Linked DNA regions of Astyanax mexicanus. Each later gene encodes a partner of the first gene's protein in a complex. Links are inferred from orthologs where the notes say so. Each region holds a gene or a part of one and is shown on either strand. Other genes may lie near its edges.

Region 1 (10,499 bases):
AGATGCCTCATGCTGTGGACATCATCTTCAAGTGATGAGTGGAAAAAGAGCGCCATCTACCCACTCAGAGAGAGCAAGGCCAATTGTGCTCTCTCGGGGCTCCGGCAGCCGATGGCAAGCTATATGAATGGGATTCCTTTATTTCCATGATAGGGATTAAATTTTGTTATTTTAAAATGGAGATTTTCCACTGAAAGGAAAATATATTCTATGACTAGGTTTAGGCCCAATCCTATTTCACCCCTTGGCTCTACCACTTAGCTCTACCCCTTTGTTTTGTGTGTGAACGTCTAGGGGTAGGGGTGTCCTGATTTTTGTTAGGCTGGAGGGGTAGGGTGAAGAGTTATAGCTAAATGGGCCTTCAAACAAAGATTTTTTTAGATGCACTCTTAAAACAGAGTTCTATGAGAATTACTGGCAAGATTTAGTGGCTAGCTAGCTTTCTAACTATCCTGCTCCTACTTTTTAGCAAAGAAAAGGTACTTTTACTTAATTACATTTTTTCAGTACTTTTTCCACCTCTGGTAGAAGGTGGATAAGAGCTCTGCAATTTTTATAAGAAAACTGCTGCTTTTTTACTGGCCACTCATGCTTTAATCTTATTTTAATATATTTTGCTCAATATGACTATGGTCTGGCCTTTTTACTCCAATCTTGGTGACGCTACAACATAATTGTTATTAGAAGCCAACCGATAACATTTATGCTTATCTTTCAAGCTATTGTAAGTATTGAAAATACTGGTGACATTCTTTCTTACATAAACAAACATGCAAAAAAACACAATGGCCAATATGGATGTTATCAATGATCCTAGACTTGAAACAGGGAATTAAATATGAACTAATTTAATCTGAACATCAGGGGAGAAAATACCCATTCTTCTCCCTGTTTACTGAGCCACTCAAATGCATTCAGGAACCTTCAGAGAAAAAAAAACACCAAAAATGTTCTTTCTGAGCGTGTGATCTCCAAAAAGTAGTAGAAAAAAAAAACACACCAACAAACCCGTCCTTGTTCTTCTGCAGAGCCAAAACAAGGACAGCCAGCCTAGTGTCTGTTTGTCTGTTTGGAGCGACTACATACATCTACATTACAAATGTGAACATTCCCAGTGAACATTAAGCTTTAAAGAGTGAGTCCATAAATCAGAGAAGCTTATGAAAACCCAGCAGCCGCCTCCTGCTGCGAGTCCTGCGGAAATACCTGCAGATACCTGGCCTGGGACCAGACGCTCCAGCCTAATGTAGCAACCACATGTTCCAGCATCTGCACCAACACAGGCCTGCCTATAATCCATGTTCTGTGCAGGAGTGTGCCATATTTCCATCGGCTGTTATACATTATTATTATATAATTAGTGCTACAATATTATCTGCTGTCATACATTATTATTAAAAAAATATTTAGCTAAATTTTCACCTTCTGTCATTCATTATTATTATTACAGATTGTAATAATATTTATAATTATAATAATTACAACATTATAACAGATTTAAAAAAATATTATCTGCTGTTCAACATTATTATTATTACAGATTAAAAAAAAATATTATGTGCTGATACAAATTATTACAGGTTTTTAAAAATATTATCTGCTTTTAAATATTATTATTACAGATTTAAAAAAAAAATATTATCTGCTGTTAAACGTTATTACAGGTTTTTTGTTACATTATTGTCTGCTGTTATACATTATTATTACAGATTTTAAAACATATCTGCTGTTAAACATTATTATTACAGATTTTTTGTTATTATTTGCTGTTATACATTTTTATTTATTAAAAAATATAACCTTCTGTTATATATTATTACTAAAAAAATACCTACTGTTAAACAATACAGATTTTTACAAATATTATCTGCTGTTAAACATTATTATTACATTTAAAATATATATATATATATATATCTGCTGTTAAACATTATTACATGTTTGTTTGTTACTTATTATCTGCTGTTAAATATTATTATTACAGTATTATCATGCTGTATCTGATAAAAAAAATGACAAAAATGTAATGTTTTTGTTTTATACTGAATCTATGAAACTTTTATATTAATACTCAATGAAACCACCATTATTTTGTTGCAGTAAAATATTTTTTAAATTAATAAAATATGTTTTTAGTCCCATCACCAAGAATATCTTATTACAACATTGAAACACTGAAATATTGTGATAGTATTTCAGTATAGTATAGCCCCCCTCTCATGCTAGGGTGGACATCTTTGTGATTTTGAGATGTTTAAAGGCCTTCAGAACTCTGGAAGATGCTCTACACAAGAGCAGCAGAACTCACGGGTTCGGTCCTTGTTCCAGGCGTGGCAGCTGATGGGTTCCAGTAGAAAGCTGTGGTAAGCCATGGTTCAGGTCTCTGCAGATCAGATACAGCAGCAGATAAGAACAAACTGAACACCTTCAAACCTTTAGCATCTGCTCAAATGTTTAAAAGAGCACATCCAAGTAACCATATCTAAATACTTTTTTATTTATTATCTATAATTCAGTCCACACATGGATTTTGGGAGAACTTTTCAGCATATTATAGCTTTTAGAGGTTTTGATGGATGGAAGCATGTGTCATCTAAAGTCTCAAATTCTTCATACATTTGAACATTTCTGGTATATTTTTATTGCACAAAAAAAACATCTACTTTGATCTTGGTGAGAACACCTGCTAATTAGTTATATCTGTGTTAAATTTACAAAAAGAAAAAAAAAATCAAAAAGTGAGGCCACGCTTCTTCACTTCCGCAGAAATGAGAACAAGAAGCAGCGGCTCTAAAAGGAGAACTTTCTGAACTTCCTTATGTAGTCAACTCCATTGTGTTTGATCTACATGTGAACTAGGGGTGTGCCATATTGTATTACACAGTATAAAATGTTATAATTTATTTAATTTATGATTAAATTAGTTAATAAAAAAGAACAGTATATAATGATTAAAGCAATATTTGATCTTGTAATCAGTATGGTTTTTTTTGTATTTACAGTGGAGCTTTAAGCTTTTTACTTTTTAAGAGTATAATTGTGTTTGTTTGCAGTTAATATGCATGCACTAAAAATTCGGCACAGATTTACAGATTTTTTTCTGTTTCTACTGATTGTTTGAAACTTGTCTTTATACAATAAAAACAGCAAAAAGTTTATTGCCAAGAATATCGTTAATGCAAAAATAGCCCTGAAATATCATGATATTATTTTGGGGCCATATCGCCCACCCCTAATAAAATAAACACATTCTTTCATGTCTAGCTCAAATTTAGATTTAGTCTAAAACGCTCCCAGCCGGCCTTTGGAACTAAACTTCCTCTTTTTCCCCTCTTTCTCTCTCTCTTTTGCAGTAAATTAAAAGCAGAGCAGAAAGGAATGTGACGTGAGGTCAGACAGCCGGATGACAACTGCAGGAGAAAAACACATTCAACACCTTTTCATCTCAGACTTTCCATTCAGAGCTCCCTCCCTGCTCTAAAGAGCCTCTTACGCCTTCTAAAGTCTTCTCAACAGTTCATAAGAAACAACAGTTTCCTCCTCAAAACCTCTATTTATAGCTGTATATCTGGGAACAGTTATGACATTGTTATGCAAAGGCGTAATAGTAGTAATAACATGTTAGTACATGTTAGTTTCGCAACACTTGAAGCTCTGCATACACACACACACACACACACACACACACACACATATATATATATATATATATACATATATAGAGCAGAACACGCCCTGCAGCAGCTAGCTGAAAGCCTGCACTACGCTTCACATAAACAGAAAAATCTGTTCATCTACTCACCCTGGAAATGGTTAAACGGGAAGTTTCCCTGAGATCTAGCAGATAGGAAGAGGTGGAACAGAAGCAGCCTGAGTTCGTGGACTCTGAGCAGTCAACACAAACGCTGGCTCGGCTCTCAATGAACTCAACTATTTCCTTAGACCTTTTATATACGTAAAAAAAAAAGAAAAAAAAAAAAGAAAAAGAAGTGTTCTTCCCCCTTCCTGTTTGAGACACTTAACCACTTCCTCGTGTGGGCGGCTGTCTGCAAACGGGGCCAGCCTTCTCTGTTCAACTCCTTTCAACATCCTGCTCAGAGGCATGTATAACATAAGCTACTCTCGCGATCCTTCATCTGCCGGTGTGTGTGTGCTGCCTGTACAAACACAGTGAGTCCAGAATGTGCAATGTGAACACTAAACCAACTAGCAAACCTTCTATTCGCTGTGGATGGGTGAGTGTTTGGCATGAATTGAGGCTGCAGTTAATCAAATATCCCAAAAAGTTGTGCAACATTCAACAGCAATACCAAACATCCCGAACGCGAGCATTAAATGCATTCATTAAATTAATAATAACAACAAGTCACACAGAACGAGACAAGACACTACATTCCCAAATGGTGTGTAGTATACTTCATTTATTTCTAGCAGACCATTTACATAAAATTCTCCTTTAATTTAACGCCTCTCTGGTTCCCCAGAACACCAAGATCAAATGTCAGACTGCTGGAGCACCAGCTTTGGCATAGAATTAAAAAAAAAAAAAAAAAAAAAAAAAAAAGCCCCCAAAAAAACAAAACAAAAAAAAAGACCCTAACCCCCTTTTCCATTAGTGTTTTTCCATTTTTTTTTTTCATTTGTTTCTTTTTAAGAGTGTCACGTCAGCTCACACCACTGTTCAGTGCTTTTTTTTTTCTCAGTTAAAAACTTTCAGAAGTGTTATCAGAAATCTCCTTGTTAGTCTTCAAGCTGCATTGCCTGCGCTGCGTCGTGCTAGTTCAGAGTGAGGTCTTTCACATGATCCGTAGGCCTTGAATAGAGGACTCTAAAGTCTGAGGAGACAAAAAAAAGAAGAAGAAGAAGAAGAAAAATGAGAAGAAGATCAAATACAGTGAGCTGTTGAGCTCAGAGCATGTTTCTTACGCAAGATTGAGAAATGACTGCAAGGAAAACAAAGATTGTTCTATTCTAAAAAAACAAACGAGCAAACAAACAACAAAAAAAAAGAGATGCCAACAAAAGCACAACAAACAAAAAGGCAAACCTTAAAGTCCCATATGGTCATTGCTCCATCGATTCCTGTAGTGCAGAATTTGCGACAATCTCTTTTGTCTCCTTCATATATAGACACTTGGCTGCAGAGGAAAGGCAAAGGAGATTACTTACAGATCAGAACAAATTTATATCAAAACACTGAGAAAAATAATGTAAACCCCTCCATGAATTTAAACATAACCAACTTATTTGTTATCTTATCCTCAGTCAAATAAAATCAAATGCCAACTGCCACAACATCTGAAGTGGAGTTGTACATGTGATATATATATTTTTTTCAGCATGTGATGTTTGAGTAGTAGTCACACAGCAGGATGTTCAAGATCACTTAAGTAGAAATGTAACAGTACACAAAATTCCACAATTTGGTGCGATTCTGCTACGAAAAGTAGAGGCAAAAATAAACAGTAATTGTGCAACTTCCAGTATGCTCCAGGTACTTTTATATATTTCCCTTGAGGTATCGAATTTTTTGCACTATAAGGTGCACCCAAAATCCTTTAATTTTTCCAAAAATAGTCAGTGCGTCATATAATCTGGTGCACCTTATGTATGAATTTTAGTACAGCGTTATACAGGAGTTTCAGTTTAGTTCTCCAGCACCGAAACTGGAGCAGTATTAGCATTAGCCCCTAACCGTAATAAGTGCTATCTTTTTTACTGTTCAGAGGGGAGTATTATCGGCCTGTAGCTTACTGCTAACCCCGACTAGCACTGCTGGAGCAGCATTAGCCGCGGCTTACCAGAACACTCAGGATTCCTCAGTGTAGCGCTGTCGGCAGCATTTACTAGCGCTAACTGCGGCTAACCTAGTGGAAATCTGCAAATCTAAGCCTACTGTAAATAAATGGAAGTGCATTTCTTGCCTAGTTTTCAGAAGATAAATCTGTGTAGATTAACATCCTTTTTTATTTTTAAGAATTACAGTTGTGTTTACTTTGCTTTGCTCTACTTAACTTAGTTAACTACCCCCACCTGCAGTGAGACCTGCTGAATTAGAACCCATGATCCTTACTAGTGCTGCATAAAGCGCTTTATAATCCAAAAATACACCAGAAAATAGACGTTCACTGATAGTGCGCCTTAAAGTCTGAAAAATATGGTGAGCAATACAGTCTATACTGCATTTAAACAGCGAAATGTAAACAGTCACAGTGGTCGTATTCTTATCTAACCTGAAATACACATTTTATGTTTACTGTTATAAAATACAAAATTGAATACAATATAAAACGTTTTGCAATGAGAGGAGTGTTATAATTTAATATAATTTATATTTAAACAAAACTTAAGTTCAAAGTTTAAAGAATTTTGTCAGTACAAATCAGCTAAAGTTTTCTCGTGCAAATAACTCACTGTGTTCATTGGTTATCACACATTGGTATAAACGGTGTGTACAGTGTATTCTCCTCTGCAACTGCACAAACCATGACCCCTCTACTGATAATTCATAAAGAACACATGTAACCATTATACCCCTACACATTAGGCAAAGGCAAACACACCACACTACAACCTTTTTGGCAGTTGGTATAAAATGGAAATATCCAGGCCATATCTACTATAGGTTGATTATACATTGGCATGCTAGAAGTCATGGGAGAGCAGTACACTGGAAAGGCAACGTAAAACATCAGTTTGAGTGAGATCGGCAGTGAGTGCCAGATGGATGGGACATTATATTTCTAAATTGTGCAGACATTTACCAATTCTAGGAAAACTCCACAGGTTAGAGCTGCTTCCTTTAGCTTACATGGCTACACAAAGTGCATTACCAATAGGGCTGGTTATCGTTTAAAAATGTTCAGTACTGATACTGATACAATACTTTAAATCTGGTACAGATACCCAAACAATACTTTTTTCGATATCTTTTTTTAATTGTAACTAAAAAAAATATATACAAAAAGCGATAATTATTCTCACAAAACATGTTTAAACTATCACTGTGAGAGACTACCATAATTTTGGATCTTGTTGGTTGTTTGTGGCGCTTTATTAAGAACCAAAACAACAGCGTTACTACAAATATTTTCACTAAGCATAATACTGGATGCATTTCAGTTCTTTTAAAAAAATATCTGCATTAGATTGGCAAAACTAAATTATTTTTATTAGAGTGGTGTCAATCACTTAAAAATTAAATATCAAGTTTCATGCTAGTTCCCTGTATTATTGTGAGGGAACAGCTAAAATAGTGTAGTGTGGTTTAGGTTTGGCAGACTAGATCATTTTTTATTGTATTATAATATCTCAGGGTAGAGGGGAGGACTGCGTGAGAGACAAAGCGAATGAAAATGAGAGAGAGACAACGTGAATGAGCTAGAGAGAAAGAGAGACGGCGCACAAGAGGTCAAGCAAGAGACTGTGTTTCTGTGCGCGTTTATGCAGGTTTAATGCAAAGTATCGAAAACAGGCACCAAATTTTTTTGGACCTTTTGGTACTCTGTAGTACCGAGACATTTTGGACCACTGTGTCTTTATGGTATCAAATTTCGATATCCAGTCCTAATTACCAATTTCATGACATGTTGGATCTGTGACTGCAGTGATTGCAGTGGAAAAACTGTTAGTTCTGTCAATATTCTACAGGCCTAATCTGAAGCCAGTGTCCAAACACTATTCAGGACCACGACCAGGGCATGAGACTTACGTGATGCTGTTCTGGTGAAGGGTTTCCAGAGTGCTATTGCGGTCCTCAGTGGTGGCTCTCTTGTCCATGTTGCGGAAGCGCTCCATGGCAGAGATGTTGCGCTGGATGCTCTGCTTTGGAATGTCCAACTTGGATATGAAGGTCAAGGTTCCACCATCATCAAAGCTGAACAGCATTGGGCAGCAGTCATGACCCTTCAGAGGAAAAACACCACTTTAAAACTGAATCCTGAGACAAAAATGACAATAAAACCTGAACCTGTGCTGTAAACTGTAACCTGCCCTTACCGCTGCCACAATGTTGTTCTCAGAAACGAAGGTGACGCTCAGAAGAGCAAGGAATTCTGTTTTCAGTGGGCTTGGCCTGCAAACAAAAGGAAGCAGTCTTTCAGAAAAAAGGGCCAACAAAACAAATCTGAAAACACACAATGTTTTCTGAAAACATAAAAAAATGCAATCATATTAAGATTCTCACGTTGAGCTTTTTGTGGGGTCCACCACAGTCACAGTGCTGTCATGGCTGACCCAGGCCAGTCTGTTCCCACTGGCAGAGAAACAGACACTGTGGACCCATCCTCCACTGCCTGCCCCACCAAACTCTGCCATCACCTGCCCAAACGGCATCTTGGACCCCCATGGAGTTGGAGCTGGCTTTTCATCCACCTCCTTGATGTATGCAGAAAATACCCTGCGAAAGAGATAGATGTCACATGACTATAAGGACACAGACAAAAGTCCATCACTGTTCTGAAAAGCAACAGCAGCCTGTTCAAATAAACATGGCATTGTCTGAAATAGATGCCAAAGATCTTTCATGGTTTTGTTCGAAATCAAAAGGTATTAAAAGACTTTATGCAGTTTTTGATGAAGTAACTGTCTCTAATTTTCTGGGGATGTTTCTCTTAGATTATAGGACGATGGATGATCACCACCTGATTGGATAACCTTTAGTCCATGTGTGGCATTTGACATGGTACCAATAGCTTTGTGTTTATTTGCTCCAGACAGTCTTATTCTGTTGGCTTCTCTACAGGGACTAAACACACAGTGTGCATTTGTACATCTGTATCAGCAATTGGTGTAACTAACATTTTTTAAAGGAGTGTCCACAACCATTTGGAAATATAGAGTAAAACAAATATTGTTATTGTCACTGTAACAAATCAAAATCAAATTTATTTGTATAGCACATTTTACAACTGATGTCATAAAGCAGCTTTACAGGACAAAGAATCAGAAAACACTGAACCCTCAGTGAGCGCTGGGGCAACACAAAAACCTTGTATCTCTGATTATGCCACTTTTTTATTATTTGACATACTCTAAAACTTCTTAAAAAGTTGTTATAAAAATGTCAGTTCACTTGGCCGGGCACTTATGTCTGTTTGAATGGGGGGACGGGACAGGGGCTTTCCTACCAGCATGCTGACACTCCTACAGTCTACACACAAGAAGCAGCTGATTGGCTCTTTTTGTTAAGGGCAAGACTTTTTCCATAAACAGGAGCAATTTTTAGCATTACAAGAAATCCCATTCATACATCCTCACTAATAAGGTCTCTGCTTATAATACTTTTTTTTTTCTTTTTTTTCTGTGAAGCTATAAGGAGAACCTAGACTTTACACAGGAGTGATATGATTGCGAGTAGTCACGTGCCCATAACGGGAATAGCGGACTCTCAATGAAAATTCCAGGTAACCGTGAGACTCAAACTTACCTGCATTTAAAGTCACATGACCCAGCTGCCAGAAGTACATTGTTTGGATGCCAGTCAAGACTGAGGACAGTGGAGCGGATAGGCTTCTTGATGTGTTTGCTAACCCACCTTTTTAAAAAACATAGAAAGCATATTTATGCACAGAACAGCTGCAATGTGATCTGTTTTAAACTGAAGGCTCCTAAAACGTTCACTAGAAGCTCCAATTCAGACTCACCAGTCATTTTCAGACTCAAAGTAGCAAACAGATATGAGGCGAGCTCCACTGCCCACTGCAAACTTATTCTCCAGTGGAGACCACTTCACAAACGTGGCAGCACGGTTGATCCTGAGGATGACAAGAGTGGGCTTCCAAACGCCGTCCTTCTGGCTCCACACGTAAGCATTGCGATCCGCTCCGCAGGTTACAATCCGATCGCTTTTAGGAGCCCAGTCAATGCCTAAAACAGTTGTGCAACAATGATGAGCTCACATCAAGTCTAGGGTCATGTTTTGTCAAATGTAATGATGGGACACACTACAGTGCTGTAAAAAAAAAAATATCACCTTCCTAATTTCTTCTATTTTTGCATATTTGCTACATTTAAATGTTTCAGATCAAACTGCTTATTTTAATAAAATATAAATATAAACAAAAGCTAAAAGCTTTACTGAGCTTTCTGATGTTTTATTCCCACCTGGATTAAACTTGTCTTGTTTGAGGAAAGGACAGGATGTGTTAATACCTACTTTTTTTTGCACTAATCTCAGTGACTATCTAATTATTTTAGTCCCATTCAGATTCATATCATTGTATTTCCAGGCAGATGTTGCTTCACATAATTCTTTGGACAAAGGTTTTTGGCCACTATTATCTGCCATATTTAGTCTCAGAGTGCATGTATGTGCTAAACACCTTAAATTAATCAAGCTTGGTACCTGGTACTTGGTTCCTTTTTAGTACCTGCCTGCAAGTGGTTCCAAGTGAGCAGAGTAAGACGTGAGATGAAACTGTCTGCATTGTGCACTGTGTTGAACCAATCGTTTACTGCTGTTGTGAATGTGATTATATGCCAATGTGAACTAAATACAA
Region 2 (10,273 bases), on another chromosome or scaffold:
CAATTATGTATTTTTGTGCACTGACTCGGCAGCGCTCTCTGGTGGGTATTCGAATCTAGAGAGATTGGCGATTCTCTGAACGCTGTAGTTTTTGATACTCTTCGCTTTCCGTAGTTCTGACTGGTCAGCAGGCAGCATGGAGGCAGTGGGAGATTAGTGGTGTGGTGTTTACAGTCAGAGATAGAGATATGAATACAGTTACAGAGATATTTCTGTGATTTCTCTCACTGTACTGTAATATAAATACTGTAATATATTCTGTAATAGTGGAGAACTGCGTTATTCAGAAGTTATAAAGCTGTTTATAGTAACTTAGTTAATAATGCCGCGCTACGCTCAGCTGGTGATGGGACCCGCCGGCAGCGGAAAGGTAAAACTATTAGATCAGAGTTTAATATAAAACTATCAAGCTAAATTAAAGCTGTTAAATCTGATTATACTGCTTTATTTTAGTGTTTTATACAAATCTATCCCTATTAACATACATTCAGTATTTTCTCTGGCTACCGTCACATCGCAGGAGTGTAAATAGGATACTAAATTAATATTTAGAGCTAGGAGTGGGCCCTAAAATAATATCACGATATTTCATGGTATTTTCGCGATAACGAAAGTCTTGGCGATATGACAAAACACTGAATAAAAAAAATATTATTATTGTATACAATATGATATTATATATGTTACCCCTAACTGAGATATTAAAAAATGTAATGTAATGTAATGTAAAAAAAAACACAAGAATTTTATCAGATTTGTAACAGAAGTCAATGATCCAAAATGTCATGATACTAATAATAATGCGTTCCAAATATCTCCATATATCCAGGATATATCCAGTAAAATAAATGATACAGAACAGATATAATCTGTCTCTAGTAGATATACTATTTATATATAATGTGAATAAATAAGATAAAACTCGAAATCACTTGAAAAGCTTAATGGATGACTGTAAATTAAGTACATTTTCACTTACAGACACTTACAGAAACATAAATAAGATTAATCCCATTTAAATAAACACAGAAAGAGAGTGGTTTTTGATTATTATTTGATTATGCTGCTCATTTTAATAGTGAACTACTCTGCTCCTCCACAGAGCACCTACTGCTCCACTATGATACAACATGCTGAAGCCATCAGCCGCTCTGTGCAGGTGGTGAATCTGGACCCGGCAGCAGAACACTTCGACTACCCAGTGATGGCAGGTAAGACTGGAGACAAATCGACCAGCAATAAATCCAGAAATACTCAGAATTGTACAAATGATTGTTTTTATTGTTAATGTTAATCCAGGTCAGTGGATGAGGAATATAACACAATGAAAATGATATTTGGTGCCACGTAACGATAAAAAACAATATGGTCAAAATGATGCGATATATTGATATATTGTCCCGCCCCTAATATTAAAAGACGGCTACAAAGAATCTTGTTGTTTTCTGTTGTTTTTGTAATGGTACAGATATCCGAGAGCTGATCCAGGTGGATGATGTGATGGAGGACGATTCGCTGAAGTTTGGGCCGAATGGAGGACTTGTGTTCTGTATGGAGTATTTTGCGAATAACTTCAACTGGCTGGAGGAGTGTCTTGGTCATGTTGAGGATGACTACATTCTTTTTGACTGTCCAGGTAATTCTGAAATTCATTGCCATTAATCCATTATTAAGATTATGGTAATGATAATTGTGAAATAAAATTGTGAGGAAATTCATTAATACAAAAAAGTGACTTTAATGGATGTTCTCGCCTAAAACTATTCTTATTTATGTCTAATTTGACCCCATTTTTACACAGTTCCTATCAGCTGGACCACTCAAAGCCCCTAGACTAAAACTATTAACTATTATCCATTCTTTTATTCTATTTGTGTTTTCATCAACATCTGTGTTCTCTTTAAATCCACATTATTTATTCCCATGTGTTTTTTCCTCTCTGGCTGCAGGTCAGATAGAGCTGTACACACACCTCCCGGTTATGAAGCAGTTGGCTGAGCAGCTGCAGCAGTGGGAGTTCCGGGTGTGTGGGGTCTTCCTGGTCGACTCTCAGTTTATGGTGGAAAGCTTCAAGGTAGGAAATTAATATTGTTTTTTGAAAAAATAAAATAACAATCAGGATTATTGCATTTTCAGCTCAAAAACACCCTAGAGCAGGGGTTCTCAAATGGTCCTTTATTTTTCTCCTGGTCATTAAGTTACAACCCACTTTAAATTCAAACCAAACTAATTAATAAAAATATAGCTTTCAAAAAGCAGTTTAAACATGCATATGCAAGCAAAGTGAATTTTCAGAGCACTTCAGAGCATTTAAGAAACTAAGGAGGTTCATAATAATTATATGTATAAAAGTTACTACTATTAGGTTAATATTAAAATTGCACGAAATAAATAATAAATAAATAAATAAATATTTCACTTCTCTGCATATCTCTGCATTGAGAGTATATAAAATACAAAAGAGTACAAAACCAGATGAACATAAATTATTTTTAATTTTAGATTTTTTTTTTATATATATTTACTTTTACAGTAAGCTTTTTATGACACGCCCAGAACGTGCCCACAGCCCACTTTTGGGTCCTGAACCACCAGTTAAGAATCACTGCTCTAGATTATCAGTTTCTAGCAGTTTTTTGTGATGTAAACTTCTGTATTGTCTTTAAAAGCAAAAGAAACACACTAATATTTTTCATATTTAGTCAAAACTCAAACTTTTTAAAACACTAAAATTTATTTTTTTTGTCCTTATGTATTTATATTTTTACTTATTTTAATCATTTCTTATTTCCCTATTATACCATTTTATAAATCCTTTTTAAAATGTATATGAATAATGTGAAATACTGGAAAAGGGAAAACGTAAAATTGTATTTGTATTGAATTACATTGTACTATGTAAAATAAATAAACAATAAGCCAAAAAAACATTACAATTTGGATGGTAACATATCTTAATGTGTGACTAAATAGATGTTATTTAGTTTAAAAAAAACACCCATCAGAAATGCTCTGTTTTCTAGTTTATTTCAGGTGTAATGGCGGCTCTGAGTGCCATGGTGGCGCTAGAAATCCCTCAGGTCAACATCATGACCAAAATGGACCTGCTCAATCCAAAAGCCAAGAAGGAAATAGAGAAGTAAGTTTCCCAAAGAGTGTCGGTCTGTATTTGACTGTATTCGTGTGTAAAATCTGTAATAAAACACAGATAAATATAATGTTTTTACTTCAGGTATCTGGATCCAGACATGTACTCCATGATGGAGGACAACTCTACAACCCTGAGGAGCAAAAAATTCAACAAACTCACTAAAGCTATCTGTGGTTTGGTAGGTTTACAATGATGCCTGTTTTTGTATTATATTTTATTAAACAATTAAATAGATTTTTATGGAACAGAATATTTTATTTTAATATGTACATTATAATATGTAAAGAGTTGTCTGTCATTGTATTTTGTTTTATTGAAACTATTTCTATTATTATATCTATTTTTATGTAATGCAATTGAGGAGGTAGGTAGGTCCCAAATTTTATATATTTTATATGTAAATATGACATAAAATACATTGTATTTTAAGAAACAGATTTGTGTTTGTGTACAGATTGATGACTACAGCATGGTGCGCTTCCTGCCCTTTGACCGCACAGATGAGGAAGGCATCAACATTGTTCTACAGCACATCGACTTCTCCATTCAGTATGGAGAGGACCTAGAGTTCAAGGAGCCGAAGGTAAACACGTTATTTAATTTGTCTTTTTAGTTTACCGTGTAGATTATCATGTGGTTGCCAGGTTCAGTAAAAAATATCCAGCCAAAATAAGTCTAAAACTTGCCCTTCAGAAGCCTAAAGTAGCCCAATATCTAAGGTTTAAATGCAGTTGATTTAAATACAAAGGCTTTAAAGGTGTATGATTATTTCCATTTATTTTTCATCATTATATTACTTAACAATTTCCCTTTTTCTTTAGGAGACTGAGGAGGAGCCTAGCAACACAAATTATGATGAATTCTTTCAAGACAAAGTGGATTACTAGACACTTCATCATAGAAATACAGCCTGTTTGACACATAACAAGACTAAAAGTCACAGAGATGCAGTGCTGATGAAACGGGCACTCAGCAGCAGGGTGCTGTGACCCTCCCAGCCTGGAAGTGAAGAGCACCGCTGCAGGACATGAGGAGGAAATGTCGGGCAGTCTGAAGAGTCTGAAGTTCCTCAAGAATCTAGTTTCTGTGCGTGTGGGTGTGTGTGCATGTTTTCAATACAGACTGCATAATTATTATTCTCCTAATTTTATTCTTCCTGTGTTTCCTGTCTGTTCCTACACTCTTTAAGTATGGGATGATGCATTCTTACATTCTTAGAGCTGTATAATAAATATTTTTTCAATAAAATATTTGTAAAAGTTTATTACATGTGTTCTGATGGTTGTTGATCTGAAAAATGTAATGTTTAAATACAAATTACATATACATAAATAGGTATGAATTACTACGACATGACAATGGCCATACTATATACAATTATGTATGATTATATAAATATATATATATATATATATCAGTATGTTTTTGTTTAATATGTGTTTGATGGTTTATAATGATCTACAAGTATGGCCAGTTTAATAGTGTGTGAATGAACATTTCATGTAAACTTTTTTCATGTTAAACTATTTAATATACCACAGTGGATCAACACCAGCAGATGACATGACTCTCAAAACCATCACTGATCATCAGTAAATTTTACATTTTATTTAAAAATCAAGGGAGCAGAGTCTGGAGGAAGAGTGGAGAGACACACAGTCCAAACTGCTCGAGGTCTAGAGTGAAGTTTCCACCAATCAGTGATGGTTTGGAGAGACATGTCTGTCATCTGCTGGTGTTGATCCACTGTGTTTTATTATCAAGTCTAAAGTCAGTGCAGTTTTGTTTTCCCACAAAATCTTACAGCACTTCATGCTTCCCTCGGCTGAAAACAGCTTTTATGGAGATGCAGATTTCATTTTCCAGCAGGACTTGGCACACTGCCTACACTGCCACAAGTTTTCATTGGCTGTAAGACATAATCATCACCAATAAAATAAATAATTTCATGCTTAAAATAGATCATCCTGTGTGTAATACTGTAAGACGTTTATGTAATATATGCGTTTCACATTTTAAACTGAATTACTGAAATAAAGTAATGATATTTTTAATAATATTATTTTTTTTTTAGATGCTCTAGTTTTAGTATAGTATATGCGGTTATCTGCCCCTAGTGGTCAGTATGGGAACTGCAGCCCAAGCTCTTCCTGTATAGCGGTTGGGTGGGACTCACAGCGGAAGCGGCGTTTTGCAGCGCTGACACTATCCATATTTTCCTCACCAAATCCCGCTTACCTATCAACAAAATGCCGGTAAGAAAATGTTTAAAGTCTCTTTTAATAGAACGTCATATTAAAACGGCTTTTAAACAGTATAATCTTCGTTTTCGGGTCTTTTTCTGAGCCACGGTAGCTGGAGCTGATGGTCAACCGAACGAAGCTAGCTGCACGGCTAGCAGCTTCCCGTCCCTCCTCAGACATTTTCAGAGAATTTTAGCTGGACTTTCTGATTTTAAAGCTGATTTTAACGTGTTCTGTTTGTTTAAAACACCTGCATGTGTTTTATGAGTCTTAGAGGTTTGCTGGTATCGCATATAAGCAGTTAATACACATTTTTTTTAGGGATTTAGGGAGCTAACCCCAGCTAACTAACTAATACATAGCTTTAGCTTAGCGAATGTATTGCATTGGTAATGTAACCCAGTGTAGTTTCAATACTGTAACGCTATAACTAGCTATAGCTAAGGCTGTTGGTATTTTTATTTGCTTTAAAAACACATTATTGCATATTTAATAGATTTAATACTAATTCCAACGGGTTTTCCTCTTTTTTTTTTGGATTATCAGGCTTACCACTCCAGTCTGATGGATGGCGACACCAAGCTGGTGGGGAATATGGCATTACTCCCTCTCAAAACACAGTTTAAAGGCCCGGCTCCAAAAGAAAGTGAGTTATTATTTTAGTAATAAATGTGTTTTTAAAAATACATATGCTGGCTGTGTCATGTGTCCAAGCCGTAGGGCTCCAGCATTACTTCCTTAAATGGTTGCGAACTGGCTGCACTACTAACTACATCACCATAGACTCAGATTCATCATCTTCCTGTTTTCTATTTTGACAGCCAAAGACCAAGATATCATCGATGAGGCTATTTATTACTTCAAAGCCAACGTTTTCTTCAAGAACTATGAAATTAAGGTACGTACTGCAAGCCTGCAATGTACTGCAATACCCAGGAAGTAGCTGAAGGACCCAGGACTGTAAAAAATGCACTCATGCCTCAACCTGCATTCTTCTAAGATCTGCCTCTGCAGCCACCTTCAGTTTAGCCTGCACTGGTGCTGTATTCGCATGCTTTTTGTACAAAAAAAAAAAAAAAAACACATAAGCAAATATGCAATCAGCTGTTCTTTACTACTTTACTACTCTACTTTACTATTTCATGGTATTTTCGCAATAACAATACTCTTGGCAATATGATAAAAAAACTGAATTAATATATATATATATATATATATATATATATATATATATATATATATATATATATATATATTTCAAGAATACACTTCTGCGGCAAAATTTTAATTCCATTCTATTATTGCATACGATAGAATATGACAAACCCCTACTATTCACTGATCACAGTATGGGAAAGTATCTGAGTAATGTTTTATTAATCTTTCACTACTGATGCTTTTTGAATGTAATTACATGTATCATAATAAATGCTGTGTATTGTTAAAAAAAAAAAGCAGACATGTTATTTGCAAGGCGCTATAGATGATTTTTTTCTTTAGTCCAGCTTTTTTTGTCCAGTCCAATATGGCAAAATATCCACGACACACACATATATTTACATTTACTGTTACATGTATGGTATATAGCTGAAACACACAATTTTAACTGGTACTGTAATTTATTATGGTAACAGTGAAATACAGTCATGCCTTCATATAATCACATGTAGGGTCGCTCTCTGTTTTGTACTCTTTTATGTATTGTATTGTAAGCACATACGTCTTTTCTAGCAGTAATTGTTTTATTTGCTTAATTTTTATTAGAATGAAGCTGACCGAACATTGATCTACGTCACCCTGTACATCTCTGAGTGCCTCAAGAAGCTACAGAAGGTGAGTGTGCCTGGAGTAATAATAATAATAATAATAATAACAATACAATTAAATTACACATACTCAGTTCCTATTGTACTTCCTGTAAACAATGGTTTCTCTTCAATACCATCCTGAAATGATAGTGGTACTTCTATACAGTGGAGATGGTTCTCACATTTCCATAAAAGCCCTATTAGGAAATGTAATGGACTACTTAAACGGCGATAGATAGGTGGGAAGTATTATATATTTTATTTTATCATTATTTTCTTATCGTAAGTACAAATATAAACTTTTCAAGCATATTGAGGATTTCTTCAGTGTTTAAAAGTTACTGGCCTAATTGTATATTTATAGATATATATTATAGAGAGCATAATTAGTCAAGAATAACTGGAAGTATTGCAGTAAATTGTACATAAATCTTAGTATGGGAAAATTGTCTTTAAAAATAGTGTTATTATATTTGTATCATGTCGCATAGCCCTACTATCAACTATTTGTTAGTATGGATACACACACACACACACACACACACACACACAGTGCAATGGACAAGTGCTTGCTTGGCTGAATCTTATCACAAAAACCCTCATCGTAATGCCAGGTGTAAACCGACTCCAGTAATACATGGGCACGTTATTATTGTTATATTGTTTGTGGCCTCATCATTTATGCTGTAAATTAAAGGGTTTACTGATACATGTAACAAATACATCCTTCTTTATGTCCTGCAGTGCAGCTCAAAGGGTCAGGGAGAGAAGGAGATGTACACGCTGGGAATCACCAACTTCCCCATCCCAGGAGAGCCTGGATTCCCTCTGAACGCCATGTACGTTAAACCCTCCAACAAACAGGAAGAAGGTACGAGATAACTGCTGCTTCAGTGAATGAATGAATGAATGAATGAAGTTACACTTAAATAACGCCTTTCTAGAAACCAATGACACTTTAGAATTTACACATTTTTACACACAACCCTTTATACTCAGCACTCATCCATACACCGGCGAGAAGCAGCAGCCAATAGAGCACAGCGTACTCTCAACCGGAAACCACAGTCCACCTGGAGGACTGCATCGGCCACTACAGCATTTTACAGCAGAGTCCATATCTAGGCACACAATTCCCTACAATACATATATAAATTAATTTAGAGTATTAAATGTTTCTATTTTTTATGTAACTATATCTGTTCTATCTGTCTATCTGCAGTATGAGTAATCAATTTGAAATGCCTTCATATCAGTGTCCGCTCCCTTTCTAATGTTGACCAAGTGATTGTTGATTGTTTTTATCAGAGACGATGAGGGCTTACCTGCAGCAAATTCGCCAGGAGACCGGCCTCAGACTGTGTGAGCGCGTGTTCGACCCACAGACAGACAAACCCAGCAAGGTAAGCATATATTGTTACACACACACACACACAGGTTTCAGGCTGGTAATCACAGTATTATAAATCAGTGGCTCTCAAGCTGTGATACACAAAGCATTTCAGGGTAGTACACCAGATTACTTCAGAAAATTAAATGAATTTACAAAAAATATTTAATAAAGTTTTTACATCTAAGGTTTGTTTGTGTTTAATGTTTAATCTGGTAGACCCTGTATGTAAGATAACACTTTTACACAGTTTTTTACAGTTTCATAGGCCTTACAATTGATCTCTGTGGAACTCCATTCACAATAGTCTCTATTAGTAATAACAGCAAAATAATTAGTCTGGGGTGGAGCCATGTAGACTCTGTAGTCCACTACATTCTCATGTTATTTCCCACTGTCTCAAGATTTCTCAGTAGGTATACTGCATTTACAATATACAATAATCAGTAATTTGCAGATTGGCTAAAGTGCCAATAAGTTTTTTGGTTTAATCATGGCGCAACATTGCTTTAAAAAGTTTGAGAACCACAGTTATAAATCATTTTTCTGAGCCATAAGAGAGCATTTAGTGTAAAAAATAATTCCAGATCTACAAACAATACAGCTAAACATAATTACAGTTTTACAGAGTTCAATTCCATCAGCAAGTCACCTGATTTACCATTACTAAGCTCTGATTTATGAAACCAAATGTTAATATGATGAGAACTATAAATAATACTCAGACTAAGAAACAAAAGTTTAAAAACACCACTTTTTTATTAATATTTTTTACATATATTCTAATAATGTTTTTAACATTACTAACAAGTACTGATCAGAAAAGCAGCTTTTTTTTTAAACTTATCTTTTTCACATTACTGGTAATTATATATTATATATATAGTTTTATTTTTTAATGTTATGCTTCCAGTGAAATATTAGATAGTACATTAATCACATGTTTAATGTCTCTGCTCTTTTCACAGTGGTGGGTGTGTTTTGTAAAGAAACAGTTCATGAACAAGAGTCTGTCTGCTCCTGGTCAGTAGGAGGCAGCTGGGATTTTCTCTTGGTACTTTTTACACGGCGTGGATGGATGTGATTGGATTATTTTTCCAGTGTCTGATGTTTTCCTTTATTTTTTGGGGGGAGGGCAGGGTTCCTTCCATTGGATCGATGTAAGATTAATTTTATACTGCAGATTTGCAAAATTCCAACATGTTTGATTTCCTTTCTGGAACCATACACCATGTATGCAAACTTGAGGCGATCAAATAAAATATTACAAAATAAAAGTTGTTTATTTTTCATTTATTCACAGAAATGCTACTTGCACATATTTGTCTTATTTTGGGCTGAAGGTGCTGAAGTTGACTGTACACTCGAATGATGTTATAGAAGACAACTTCAATAAAATAAAAATTGATTTTAACAAATTGAAAATCTCTGGAATATAATCAAGAGGAAGATGGATGATCACAAGCCATCAAACCACCAAACTGAACTGCTTGAATTTTTGCACCAGGAGTAAAGCAGCATAAAGTTATCCAAAAGCAGTGTGTAAGACTGGTGGAGGAGGACATGATGCCAAGATGCATGAAAAAGAAAACTGTGATTAAAAACTAACCAGGATTATTCCATGTTCATTTTACTCAAACATATACCTACAGATAGTAAAATCAGAGAAACCGAAGTGGTC

What was found. The genes of interacting proteins can lie anywhere in the genome.
Region 2: arpc1b (region 1) and arpc3 share a complex: the UniProt entries of both Homo sapiens proteins name them as parts of the arp2/3 complex. The link is inferred for Astyanax mexicanus from reciprocal best matches to the Homo sapiens genes ARPC1B and ARPC3.

The regions. Positions count from the first base shown.
Region 1 is NC_064410.1:54,827,386-54,837,884, reverse strand, and holds the start of arpc1b (actin-related protein 2/3 complex subunit 1B), read right to left. Parts: upstream 3,958-10,499; 5' UTR 3,803-3,957; intron 2,384-3,802; 5' UTR 2,373-2,383; coding exon 2,309-2,372; intron 1-2,308. Other genes in the region: arpc1a (actin-related protein 2/3 complex subunit 1A), read right to left, coding at 4,797-4,835, 5,048-5,138, 7,712-7,905, 7,999-8,074, 8,186-8,398, 9,428-9,535, 9,645-9,867. UniProt on the Homo sapiens protein: Component of the Arp2/3 complex, a multiprotein complex that mediates actin polymerization upon stimulation by nucleation-promoting factor (NPF).
Region 2 is NC_064424.1:45,964,660-45,974,932, forward strand, and holds arpc3 (actin-related protein 2/3 complex subunit 3), read left to right. Parts: upstream 1-5,255; 5' UTR 5,256-5,400; coding exon 5,401-5,406; intron 5,407-5,940; coding exon 5,941-6,040; intron 6,041-6,215; coding exon 6,216-6,292; intron 6,293-7,158; coding exon 7,159-7,227; intron 7,228-7,946; coding exon 7,947-8,073; intron 8,074-8,510; coding exon 8,511-8,605; intron 8,606-9,560; coding exon 9,561-9,623; 3' UTR 9,624-9,869; downstream 9,870-10,273. Other genes in the region: gpn3 (GPN-loop GTPase 3), read left to right, coding at 323-370, 1,103-1,211, 1,469-1,636, 1,950-2,074, 3,024-3,139, 3,233-3,329, 3,606-3,734, 3,973-4,038. UniProt on the Homo sapiens protein: Component of the Arp2/3 complex, a multiprotein complex that mediates actin polymerization upon stimulation by nucleation-promoting factor (NPF).